Oryctolagus cuniculus: one gene and its partners. Each later gene encodes a partner of the first gene's protein in a complex. Links are inferred from orthologs where the notes say so. Each region holds a gene or a part of one and is shown on either strand. Other genes may lie near its edges.

Region 1 (3,642 bases):
TTTCAAATAAGTAAATAATTTAAAAAATGTATTTAGTCCAGTTACTCATGGTGTTTAAGAAAGATTTGCAGTGAAAATCAGCAAGATCAGATCCAAGTCTCAGGGGACTTCTGCTGTCAAGGAGTGGAAGGCGGACTGGCAGGAAGAGAAAAGAGAGGAATGGACCCTGGGCTGGAGGGGAGGCTGCCTGGGCCGGATGGAGTCGGAGTGAGTGGTCTGGGGGTCCAGCAGAACCAGTTCTCAGGGCGAGACCCCTGAGCAGACAGAGGCAGAGGCGAGAAGATTCCGAGGATCATTCAGAAGCCAGTGAGGCCAGAGGGGAGCCTGCAAGGACGGTGACTCGAGGGCCGGTGCTAGGCCGTGCGTGCCAGGCAGCACGGAGAGGATGCTTTAGGGAGCGTTCCTGGAGCCTGACATTTCTCCTGTTCCCGCCCCTTCACTCCCCTGGGGCTGGAAGCCACCGCCCCCACTCGGCGGAAGCTGGCCTCCCACAAAAGCCTTCTCGAAACCAGTGCCGCTGTGGTCCTGCCTCGGGCTTCCTCCCATGCCACCTCCTTGAAACTCCCTTCTCATTCGGTTTCTACCCACACCAACATCCGCTGCCTCTCTCCTCCATCCCTGGGTCCTTCCAGGGCCTTCCTCCCCAGCCCCGACTCAGAACAGGCGGCATCTGCGGAGAGACATCCTCAGGCCATCTCCCTTCACTCTCAGCTCGGTACTGACAACTCCTGCTTCCACCTCTCCAGCCCTGCCTGACCTACACCCATCCCAGCACCTTGGAGGACCTTGTGCTGGCCAAGACCCTAAAGAAGCCCCTCATCTCCAACTTCCCCTGTCCTTGGGCAGCCTACTCCCCTTAGCACCTCCAAGTGACAAGCTGCCCTTGACACCCCCTCTCCCTATCACATCAACTCAGCAAATATTTATTGAGCACCTACTAGGCGCACTGCACCACCTCAACAGGTTACTGGGTTACAGAACAATGGGCTTTCCTGAAACAACCCTCAGAGCCATTCCTCCTCCCCTGCCCCGTCATCTACCGTCACCTTCATCCATATCAGATTGCTTATGTCTGGTACCCGGTTGAGTCCTCTGCCCCCAACCCCTACCCACATCCAGGGCAAAATGGTCGTCACAAAGCCTGCTCTCACTGTGTCCCACTTTAACTCCCGTGATCGTGGATAAGCTGGGCCCCTCCGCCGGCCCCACCCTCACCTTCCGTGGCTCTCCTTGGGATCCCTACTCCCCTCTGATGGTGGGGTTCTCATGAGGTCCTCCCAGCCCCGTACCCCAGGTCACTCACGACTTGGAACGCCTCTGCCTACAGTGTGCCTGCAGCCAGCCATGCCTTTTCTACCTTCACTGTCTTCCTTCCCTTTCTGCCCAGCCTGGCTAAGTCCCACCTCTTCCCGTGGCTGCCCACGGCCCATCCTTGACCCAGAGCCACAGTATCTCCCACCTAGCACCCACTTCCACGCGCAGCACTTGTGTGCCATGTTAGTGTCAAATTGTTCCAGCAACTTCCAAGGAGCCAAACCTCAGAAATCTCCCACACGGAGATTGAGGGGTCTCTGGGGTCACCGCTGGGAGTGCCGGCCAGTGCTTCAAGAACCCCTGCCACGGGGCCAGCATTGTAGCTAAGTTGCTGCTTGGGATGCCGGTTTCTCATATCAGAGTACAGGTTCAAGTCCTGGCTAGTCCACTTCCCATCCAGCTTCCTATTAATGCACCCGGGGAAGACAGCTGACAATGCCCTACTTGGGCCCCTGCCACTCATGTGGGAGACCAGAACGGAGTTCCTGGCTCCTGGTTTCTGCCTGGCCCAGCCCTGGGCAGCGAACCAGCAGATGGAAGATCTCTCTCTCTCTCTCTTATTCTACCTTTCAAATAAATAAACCAATATTTTTCTTTTTGAAGAAATCACCATTCTACTTGCTAGTTGCCCTCACAGAAAAAATTAATTAATAAGCAAGACAAAACCCTGCTGTGGGATCCGAGGCGGTGGTGGCAGCGGACAGGAAGGAAGCTCCTGCCCCAGGTCCACTCTGTCCTCATCTTGCTCCCCCTCACCATGGCAGCTGCGATCTCTTCCGGGCTGTCCCCATCCAGATCAAACCGGAAGGTCACCATCTTGCTGTTGTGGGTCTGCAGCTGGCACTCGACCACTCTGTCATTCTGGTCGGAGACCTTCAGGGTCAGCAGAGGGAGGCGGTCAAGCCCTCCGCCCTCACCTGCCTCCGCCAACCCAGCGCCACTTCCAGGCACTCCACCCTCCAAGTCCGGTAGTAGAAATGGTAGTAGAATGGCTGCCCCGTGGGTGCCAGGCACACTGCCAGCCCCCTTTCTGGCTGATCTCCACTCCGCTGGGCGGCCCCTCCCGGCCCCGTGGGTTACTCTCCATCTCCCGTGCCGCTTCCTTACACTGGTGACGCGCAGCCGGGATCGGGGTCTGCGCCGGAGGTTCCTCCCCGGAGGCCTTCTCACCCGTCCCGTCCCTTCTCCCACATCACTCAGGCCTGATGCCGCATCTGATGCGTAGCTGGGGGAGAGACAGGAGATGGAAGGAGCATCAGGTGGGCCCTGGGACCTCAGAACCCCGGATGTTCCACCTGGCACCCAGCTCATACCAGAACATACCTGTCCCCAGGTGAAAAGTCACTGCCAGGGCCAGAACATGGGATGGACACAGCGAATGCCTGAAATAGGATAAAAGGTTCACAAGGTCAAGGGCAGATAACTGTTGGGGTCCAGGGAGGTGGTATCAAAGGTGCTTGGGGAGACACTAGGGAGACAGAATGGGAGCAGGTGAGGACTAGGGTGGTAGATTTCTAGGGACACAGGGCTGGGTTTCACAATGAAGGGATAGGTCCTAGGTTTGGGATGGCTGCGAGCCCCTCCCATGACCCCCCCTCACCGAGGGCAGGCAGAGCCGGGTCTCAGCAGGGCTGGAGGGCACCCCCCCAGGGGGCTGCAGGGCAGGATCTGAGGCATCCAGGAAGCCAGAGGAGCTGAGGTAGCCATCAGTCTCGCAATCCGCTGGTGGGGGATGGAGGGGTCAAAAAATATCAAAAGGAGTGGTGGGAAAGGAGGGGCTGACCGAGCAGGGAGGCAGCCGTGGGCTGGAGGCGGAAGGAACGTAAGGGACAGTGCTGCAGGGTGGGACTGCCGGGTGGGGGAGGGCCAAGGCCCAGGGTTCCACGACCCCAGCTCAGGCAGGACTTACAGGTGGTGGATGAGTAGCTGGCGTGGCGGAAGAGGAAGGGCTGGTGCTGGTCTGCCTCTGGCTCCTCGGGCTCAGGGGGGAAGGCGCTGGGAGCCCCAGGAGCCATGGGAACCGTTGCTGGCGGAGGTCCGGGCTCGGGCGGGAGGGCCTGCAACTCTCGAGCTTTGCGCAGCTTCTCACGCTTTCGCTGGATGGCAGCAACCCGTTCACGCACAGCCCGGGCCACTGGTTGGTAATCAGCCTCACAGACCAAGCCCAGCGCCACCTGGAGCGGGGAGGGTGAGGAACACAGGTTAGGACGCCCCGCTCCCGCTTCTGGAGGCCTCCAGGATATGGGAGGGAAGGAACCACTTACTGATTACCCACTGTGTCTGCTAACTGGCAGCTGCTAACATTACCATCACCCTGGGGTGGGGGAG
Region 2 (4,140 bases), on another chromosome or scaffold:
ATTTGAAAGGCAGAGGTACAGAGAAAAAAGGGAAAACACACAGAAATCTTTCTTCTGCTAATTCACTCCCCAAATGGCCACAACTGCTGGGGCTGGGCCAGATCAAAGCCAGGAGCCAGGAGCGTCTCCTGGGATCTCCCACTTTGGGTCACCCTCTGCTTTCCCAGCCACATTATCAAGGAGCTGGATTGGAAGTGGAGCGGCTGGGTCTCTAACCGATACCCATGTCCATATGGGCTGCCCCTGTTGCAGGCTGAGGCTCTGACCACGAAGTCATCGTTTTCACGACCCGGGCTAGCTGCTCACAGTTTTCCAATTGCTTCTCATCTCACAAGAGGCCCATCCCTGACTGCAGCCTAGCATGCCTCTATGGGTTTGAGTGCCCTGGCCCTCCCCAAGCGCTCCTTCCAGCTGCTTCTGCCCTCAAGCCAGCTTGGGCCACAACAGAGGGTCTCAAACGGGAGGGCTGCGTATTGCACACATCAGCAGGGCCCCGCCTCCAGAGTTCCTGACGAGTCTGAGCTGGGCCCGGAGATTTCGCGTCCCCACCCAGTGCCCAGGTGCTGCCATGCCAGCGGGCACGCCGGGCCCACCAAGCTTCCTAAAACAGTTCCTCAACAAGGCAGCCCTGCCCTCTGCCCTCGGCTTTCTCGGCCTTACTCAAGGCTCGCGTTGTTCTGTCTCCGAGCTTTGGAGGGGCCTCCCTTGACCGCTCCCTCTTATTTTTCTTCCCTGTTTCCAGGTCCTCTTGCCCCGTCTACGCGGACAGCTCCACAAGCCCAGACTCGGTTCTGCTCTTTTCTGTCTCCCTGTCCCCAGATCTTGCCTACCGAGGTGCTCACTTCGCTTGTCCAGGGAGCGGCTCCCAAGCCGAGGAGAGACCCCCCCCCCCCCAGCTTCGGGCGACAGCCGCTGCACAGGCTGCTTGCCTCAGTTTCACCACGTGTACAGGCAGAGGCTGGGGGCGCCTGCCTCTCCCTTGTCCCCCCCATCCCCGCACAGGCGCAAACCATCAGAGGACCCGGGGAACGCGCCCGGCAAGCAGCGCAGGGGGAGCCCCGAGCGTTCACGCCGCGCTTCTTCCAGAAAGCCCCCGCGCCCCGAGGCCCGCGCCGGGCACGCCCGCCCCCGCGAGCAGCCGCCGCCGCCGCAGGAGGAAGGGGCGGCGCCGAGGGAGGGTCCGCGGCCGCCGCGGGAGGCCGCATCGCCGGCCCGTCACGGCGTCGGCGCCGGCCGGGGCCGAACCCGGAAGTGGCCGAGCCCGCGCGTCCGCCCCGCACTCGGGCGAGCGCGGGAGCCGCGCAGGCAGACGGAGCGCGCCCGGCCGAGCGGGCCATGGCCGCGGGGGCCGCCGCCGCAGGTGGTGGCGCGCGGTGAGGCGAGCGCGGCGCCCCCCTCCGGGGCGCATGGAACGCAGCCCGGCGGGCGGGCCGTGCCGGCGTCCGCGGCTGGAATGGTGCTGGCGGCGGCGGTCGGTGCCTGCGTGCTGAAGCCCGCGAGGAGCCACCATGGAGACGCCGCCGCTGCCTGCCGCGTGAGTGAGCGGGCGGGCTGTGCCGCTGCGGCCACGCGCGCCGCTGCGGAGCCGCCGGGGGCCCCGCGGGAGGTGGGAGATGCGGGGCGTGACGAGGCGCGGTGCCCGCAGCCTGGAGGTGGACGCGGGCGGAAACTCGCGCTGGCCGGGCGGGGACTTAGCGCCCTGCCCAGGAGCCCCGGGAAGGTGCTGGTGGTGGTGGTGGTGGTGGTGTGGGGGTGTCTTCCCGATCCCCGGCGGATGGAAGATTCGGGATGGGCCGGTGCGCGGGGGCCGCCGTCTGTCCTGTGGCTGCCTCCCCGGAACGCACGGGCTGCCTGCGTCCTTCGGAGCGATGGCTGTGGGATGCGCGGAGTCCCTAGGAAGGAGGAAGCTGGAAAGTACCAGATGCCCGGTGTCTCGGTGAATCAGTGCGAGCTCGCTTGCTTGCTTGCTTGCCTGCTTCCCCCGAATTTCTGACAACATTGATATCCCGGGAGCTTGTCCGTCACTCGCTGGACGAGCCGCGGCCGTTTAGGGCATGTGACCTCTTACCTGGCGCTGCAGACGATTGTATCCAGAAATCAGAGCATTTTCTGGTTCCTGGGCACCTTGGGCGGATGAGTATCGTAGCGACCTGCCAGGCACAGGTGTCTATTTCCTTGGTACCTGAGCACGGTTAGGATCAGCTAGCTGCAAACAGAATTACTTTCTAGAAATAATAGCAGCTGAAGAATTATGTGGGAGGTATTGTTGCATTATTCAGTACAAGGGTTTTTTAAATTAATTAATTTTTTTAGCATCTTGGTAGAAGTGTGGCCGTCAATCCCCAGGAGTTTTTGAGCAATTCCATTTTGATGTGCTATCCTGAGTTTCACCTTTGTGAAGGAACAAGAGCCCTTTGAATCTTGACTTTTCAAACCGCCGGCAGTCTCATTCTAAGGAACAGTGTCCCTTTCTCTGAGAGCTGTTTCATGGAGCCTTACCGTTTTTTTCAGTTAGATTTGGCCAGTCTCACTCCATGCCAGTTGTATACCGCACCAGCCTCTTGTGGTTATTTGGCCGAGTTCCAGCCAAAATATGGAAAATCCGATTTGGGCTGAAAAGATTTTTTGATGTCGTTTCTTTTAGGAGAACTAATGGGATTCGGAACTGCAGTTTCTGAAAGTACGTTACAGAATTTCTAGCTCGAGTGGAACAGGTCATGGGGATCTGGAGAGGCCATGCTTAGACTCTTGCACTGACCCTCCTCTGCTGATGGAAGCAGCGGAGGTTCAGCCGCTCCTTGACTGCGGTGCCTTTGAGGGCTCTGTGGTCTGGTCCTCCCCTTCAGCAGGTCGGAGGGACCGTGATGGTGGGTCGTTAGCATCAGCATTGTGCACACGCTCGGGAGTGCTCATGGCTGGATGTGTTCTCTGTATTTCTAGACAACGCCCGGCATGGCATAGATAACATGTGGGCACCTCATCTGTAGTACACCGGCCACCCCCTTTGGGGCAGTTGTCTGCAGTCCCTTTTTACTTCTGTAGTGCAAGGAACTACAGGGAGGAACGGGGAGTCTTCGAATGCAGGTGAGAAGAAGGGTGTGGACAAAGCAGGCTCTGGCGCGAGGGAGGAAAGGCATAGCGAGTGGTTTAACCTGAAGCAAGAAACAAATGCAATAGATGTGTGTATGCAAATACTGATCAGACTGAAGCTAGGGCAGATCAGCCCATCCTGATTTTGGTGTCCAGCCCAGTTCTTGGGTGCTGAGACCCCGTCAGTACTGCTGGAACAATGAGAGGCTGAGATACCGTGACAAACCCGGGGTGCCAGCATGGGTGAGAGAATTGCTAACGCTTCCTTCGCTCACGAGTGGCTGAAGTTGGGGAGATTTGTTTTATAATTCTGCACATCCATTTAGTGATAGATGTAAATAGGTTTTATTTGATTGTAGCCTTAATTCCAGAGTTTGTTGTAGTGTTATTTACCTTTCCATAGATCAGAAGGCCCCCCCACTTCCCCTTCACCTGTTGACGTAGTTGCCTCCACGCCCTTGAACTTCCTGCCTGCCTGGTTGAGGGTGCTGGCTTTGAGAAATACAGGCAGCATCTTTGGGAAGGGGCTTCACTGTTGTGATTGGAACAAGACTGAGGCCAGTGTAAGTTATTGGGAAAAACTCGGATTTTCACAAGGATAGGTGTCTAGTCGGAGCTTTAATGCAAAACAAGATGTTTGACCTGGACTTAAGAGTGTCTTGGGTGGTGTGGTTGAAAGCAAGGACTGGTCGTGTGTGTGTGAATGTCTGTCGATGAATTCATTCGGTCGGCAGCTGTTGAATGGCTGTCTCTGCCTGGCGCTGGGCTGGAGCACTTGCTTGGTACTTCTCTGTGAATAACTAGTCGAGTTTACATTGTCCTCACACCTGAGAGATCTTCCATCCACTGGTTTAATTTTACTTGAAGAGGGGTGTCTTTACTTGAAGAGGAGAGTCGTGGAGACATGGAAATATGGAGAGAGATCTTCCATCTGTTGGTTTATTCCCCAAATGCTCACAGCAGCTGGGGCTGGGCCACACTGAAGCCAGGAGTACAGAATTCAGTCTGAGTCTCCCACGGGAGTGGCAGGGACTCAGCCATCATCTGCCA
Region 3 (3,642 bases), on another chromosome or scaffold:
GTGAGCTTGAGTCTGGAACCCAGGCATCAGGGCTTGACCTTGAGCAGTGGTCTGACAACAGCTCTGGTTTTGCTCCCCATCTGGTAGGTGATGTTCACTGGGGGGTGAGTGAACTACTGCTGGCTCACTCTGGTGTTGAAGATCGTGCTCCTCTCCCCAAAACACAGGTGGGGAAGTAATAAGCACCATCATTCATAACGGCACAAACTGCTAATGGCACTCACGGCTGATGGCACTCACGGCTGATGGTACTCACGGCTGATGGCGCTCAGTAGACCCTGGGTTAGAAGAGCGGTGAATCCTAGAGCAGAGCAGCAGCCTCAGCTGGGAATTTGTGAAAAATGCAGATTCTCAGCTTTGCTCCTGACTCGCTGAGTCGGAAACTCTGGGGCAGAGCCCAGCACGTTGTGTTTTTACAAAGCTTTCAGGGGATTCCGATGCATGCTGAATTGCAGATTCACCGGGTAAATAATGGGAGCTACAGGTAAAGATCAAGTCCTGTGGTGGTATTACCTGCCAATGGCGTCCACCCCCGTCTCTCGGCTCAAGAAAGCCAGTGAGTGAGAGTAACACCATTATGGGGACAGCTGCAACTCTGCATCAATTTAGAAAGCTGTATACACTGTAGTTAGCATTGGCACTATAATTTTTATTTATTAATGACGTACGACAAAAGTCACAACAGCAAGGATACCACACTTGAGTATTGCAGATGCGTTACTCTAGCTAGAGCAGCGGCTTTTATTTCTTTGGCCACACTCTGCAGTAACAAATGTTTGAACTATTATCCGGAAGGTACAGGTGTGGAATACCAGATGAGATATTTCATGAAATAACATCCTTCCATGATCATTCCTGTGCTGTTCTATTAAAAGTATGCTGGTTGCAACCCATTACATGGATTTCATGACCCACTACCAGAATGGGACCTGCATTTTGACGCAAACACAGGTGCAGCAAGCTGTCAGCACAGACCCTGTCTCTGGAGCGGCTGGGGTGGCACTGGCCTCATCCTTGCATCAGGGGCACTCGCGTCTCAGTCTCTGTTCTGTACTCTCAGCTGTGTGACCCAGGGCTTTTGTGGTGTTCTGTGAGCTCTCCTCAGCTGCCAGTGGGGATGGTCATCTCTACAGAGTTGTGGCGACGAGTGAATGATAGCCCTCTCCTTGTGGTTCCTTATTTGTGGGAATTTGTTAGCGGTATCTTTCAGAGCATCATCAGTTAAACAAATTTCATGGTACCCACCACAAAGCAGTGTTTCACCACATTTTTTTTTCCCATAATGCAGTGAACGTGTGCCTTCTGCAGTGTAAGCATTCAGAAATATTTTTGGTTAATAATTTGATCCTAAAAATGCATCCGAATTGAATGTTTTTTCTAAGATATAGTCATTTGTTTTGATACAATTTAGTCCCCTCCCCAGTCTTTGAGGCTACTGAGGCCACAGAAGATGCCTCCAGGGGCTTCGCCACCCCCAACATCGCTCTGAGAGGGGCATTTAGGAAGCACAGCCCTTCTGGTCGTGTACCCGTGGGGAGATGCGTGTTAGAGTGCTCTTGCATACACACACGTGTGGGTGATAGGGGCGGCATCTCCATGTCTGTAGCTCTGTGGTCCAGCCTCGCAGATCACCCACACGCCCTGGGAAGGGGGCGTGGGAGGTACTGGGAGTTGGTTACCCACTAATCTAGATGTGAGGAGACGCAGCTAACGTCCACTTGTCTCTCTGGAGGTCATGATTGTGGTTGGTGGCCAGGCGCCCAAGGCAATCCGTAGTGTGGAGTGCTATGATTTCGAGGAGGACCGGTGGGATCAGATTGCTGAACTTCCGTCCCGGAGATGCAGAGCAGGTGAGCCGCACTGCCGTCAGTTCAGTTCTGCAGGCTGCTTTTCCTGGCCGGTCTCCACCCAGTCCGGGAAGTCCTGTGGGGCCCTGGGGTCCTCGATCCTCTGTGGGATTCAGGCACCCTTCCCTTGCCTTCCCCACCTGCACTGTGTTGGGTGGCCCTTTCTAAGATCAGCTCTTACGCGCTTGGGGGTGTAAGCTAATTCAAATATTTGCTTGAATCAAACAAAAGTACAAAAGCGAATGGAAAAAGCAACCCAGTGAGTCCCATCTTGATTTCTAGAAACCTGAAGTTGGAGGTTATCTCTGTGAGTTATTCCTGTGCCCGCCTTGCTCCTCCTGCTGTCACCCATCGACCTAAGTGGCCAGCTGTCTCGACCTGACCTTGATACCTTAGTTTCCTGTGCCTCAGGTGTGGTGTTCATGGCTGGCCATGTGTATGCTGTGGGCGGGTTTAACGGCTCGCTGCGGGTACGGACGGTGGACGTGTATGACGGCGTGAAGGACCAGTGGACGTCCATTGCCAGCATGCAGGAACGCCGGAGCACACTGGGTGCAGCGGTGCTCAACGACCTGCTCTACGCCGTGGGAGGCTTTGATGGCAGCACTGGTAAGTCCAGGGCATGTCCCCACCCCTCCCAGCCTGGGACACACCCTTCTCATAACCCTGTTTTGTTCCTCAGTTCTTGGGCAACCGTGCGTGTCTATAGCTACCGGCCCAGCTTCTTTTGGGGCCAGAACCAGGCCCACACACTGATTTCTTTCTTTTTTTTTTTTTTTTAACTTTTATTTAATGAATATAGATTTCCAAAGTACAGCTTATGGACTACATTGGCTCCCCCCTCCCCGATGACTTCCCTCCCACCTGCAACCCTCCCCTTTCCCACTGTCTATCCCCTTCCATTCATATCAAGATTCATTTTCAATTTTCTATATATACCAAAGATCAGTTTAGTATACATTAAGTAAAGATTTCAACAGTTTGCACCCACATAAAAACACAAAGTGAAAAATACTGTTTGAGTACTCGTTATAGCATTAAATCTCAATGTACAGCACATTAAGGACAGAGATCCTACATGAGGAGTAAGTGCACCGTGACTCCTGTTGTTGACTTTACAAATTGACACTCCTGTTTATGGCATCAGTAATCTCCCTATGCTCCAGTCATGAGTTTCCAAGGCTATGGAAGCCCTCTGAGTTCTCCGACTCTTATCTTGTTTAGACAAGGTCATAGTCAAAGTGGAGGTTCTCTCGGTTCTCTCCTCCCTTCAGAGAAAGGTACCTCCTTCTTCGAAGACCTGTTCTTTCCACTGGGATCTCACTCACAGAGATCTTTCATTTAGGGTGTTTTTTTTTGTTTTGTTTTTGTTTTTGTTTTTGTTTTTTTGCCAGAGTGTCTTGGCTTTCCATGCCTGAACTACTCTCATGGGCTTTTCAGCCGGATCCGAATGCCTTTAGGGCTGATTCTGAGGCCAGAGTGCTGTTTAGGACATCCGCCATTCTATGAGTCTGCTGTGTATCTCGCTTCCCATGTTGGATGGCTCTCCCCTTTATTTATTCTATCGGTTAGTATTAGCAGGTACTAGACTTGTTTATGTGATCCCTTTGACTCTTAGTCCTTTCATTATGATCAATTGTGAACTGAAATTGATCACTTGGACTAGTGAGATGGCATTGATACATGCCACCTTGATGGGATTGAATTGGAATCCCCTGGTATGTTTCTTTTTTTTTTTTTTTTTTTTGACAGGCAGAGTGGACAGTGAGAGAGAGAGACAGAGAGAAAGGTCTTC

The links.
Region 2: the proteins of WNK4 (region 1) and KLHL2 are in contact, whole or in part, in a crystal structure (PDB 4CHB), measured with the Homo sapiens proteins. The link is inferred for Oryctolagus cuniculus from reciprocal best matches to the Homo sapiens genes WNK4 and KLHL2. Residues at the interface, in NP_115763.2 of Homo sapiens: Glu557, Pro558, Glu559, Glu560, Pro561, Glu562, Ala563, Asp564, Gln565; in NP_009177.3 of Homo sapiens: Arg345, Phe361, Gly363, Ser364, Leu365, Arg366, Thr392, Phe408, Gly410, Ser411, Thr412, Gly413, Ser438, Ser439, Tyr455, Ser487, His504, Arg534, Tyr583.
Region 3: the proteins of WNK4 (region 1) and KLHL3 are in contact, whole or in part, in a crystal structure (PDB 4CH9), measured with the Homo sapiens proteins. The link is inferred for Oryctolagus cuniculus from reciprocal best matches to the Homo sapiens genes WNK4 and KLHL3. Residues at the interface, in NP_115763.2 of Homo sapiens: Glu557, Pro558, Glu559, Glu560, Pro561, Glu562, Ala563, Asp564, Gln565; in NP_059111.2 of Homo sapiens: Arg339, Phe355, Gly357, Ser358, Leu359, Arg360, Thr386, Phe402, Gly404, Gly407, Ser432, Tyr449, Gly451, Ser481, His498, Arg528, Tyr577.

What each region holds. Positions count from the first base shown.
Region 1 is NC_091448.1:20,122,646-20,126,287, forward strand, and holds part of WNK4 (serine/threonine-protein kinase WNK4), read right to left. Parts: intron 3,489-3,642; coding exon 3,224-3,488; intron 3,037-3,223; coding exon 2,915-3,036; intron 2,697-2,914; coding exon 2,638-2,696; intron 2,540-2,637; coding exon 2,422-2,539; intron 2,188-2,421; coding exon 2,071-2,187; intron 1-2,070. UniProt on the Homo sapiens protein: Serine/threonine-protein kinase component of the WNK4-SPAK/OSR1 kinase cascade, which acts as a key regulator of ion transport in the distal nephron and blood pressure.
Region 2 is NC_091439.1:131,632,298-131,636,437, reverse strand, and holds the start of KLHL2 (kelch-like protein 2), read left to right. Parts: upstream 1-1,307; 5' UTR 1,308-1,508; coding exon 1,509-1,534; intron 1,535-4,140. UniProt on the Homo sapiens protein: Substrate-specific adapter of a BCR (BTB-CUL3-RBX1) E3 ubiquitin ligase complex that mediates the ubiquitination of target proteins, such as NPTXR, WNK1, WNK3 and WNK4, leading most often to their proteasomal degradation.
Region 3 is NC_091437.1:25,467,020-25,470,661, reverse strand, and holds part of KLHL3 (kelch-like protein 3), read left to right. Parts: intron 1-1,732; coding exon 1,733-1,850; intron 1,851-2,258; coding exon 2,259-2,456; intron 2,457-3,642. UniProt on the Homo sapiens protein: Substrate-specific adapter of a BCR (BTB-CUL3-RBX1) E3 ubiquitin ligase complex that acts as a regulator of ion transport in the distal nephron.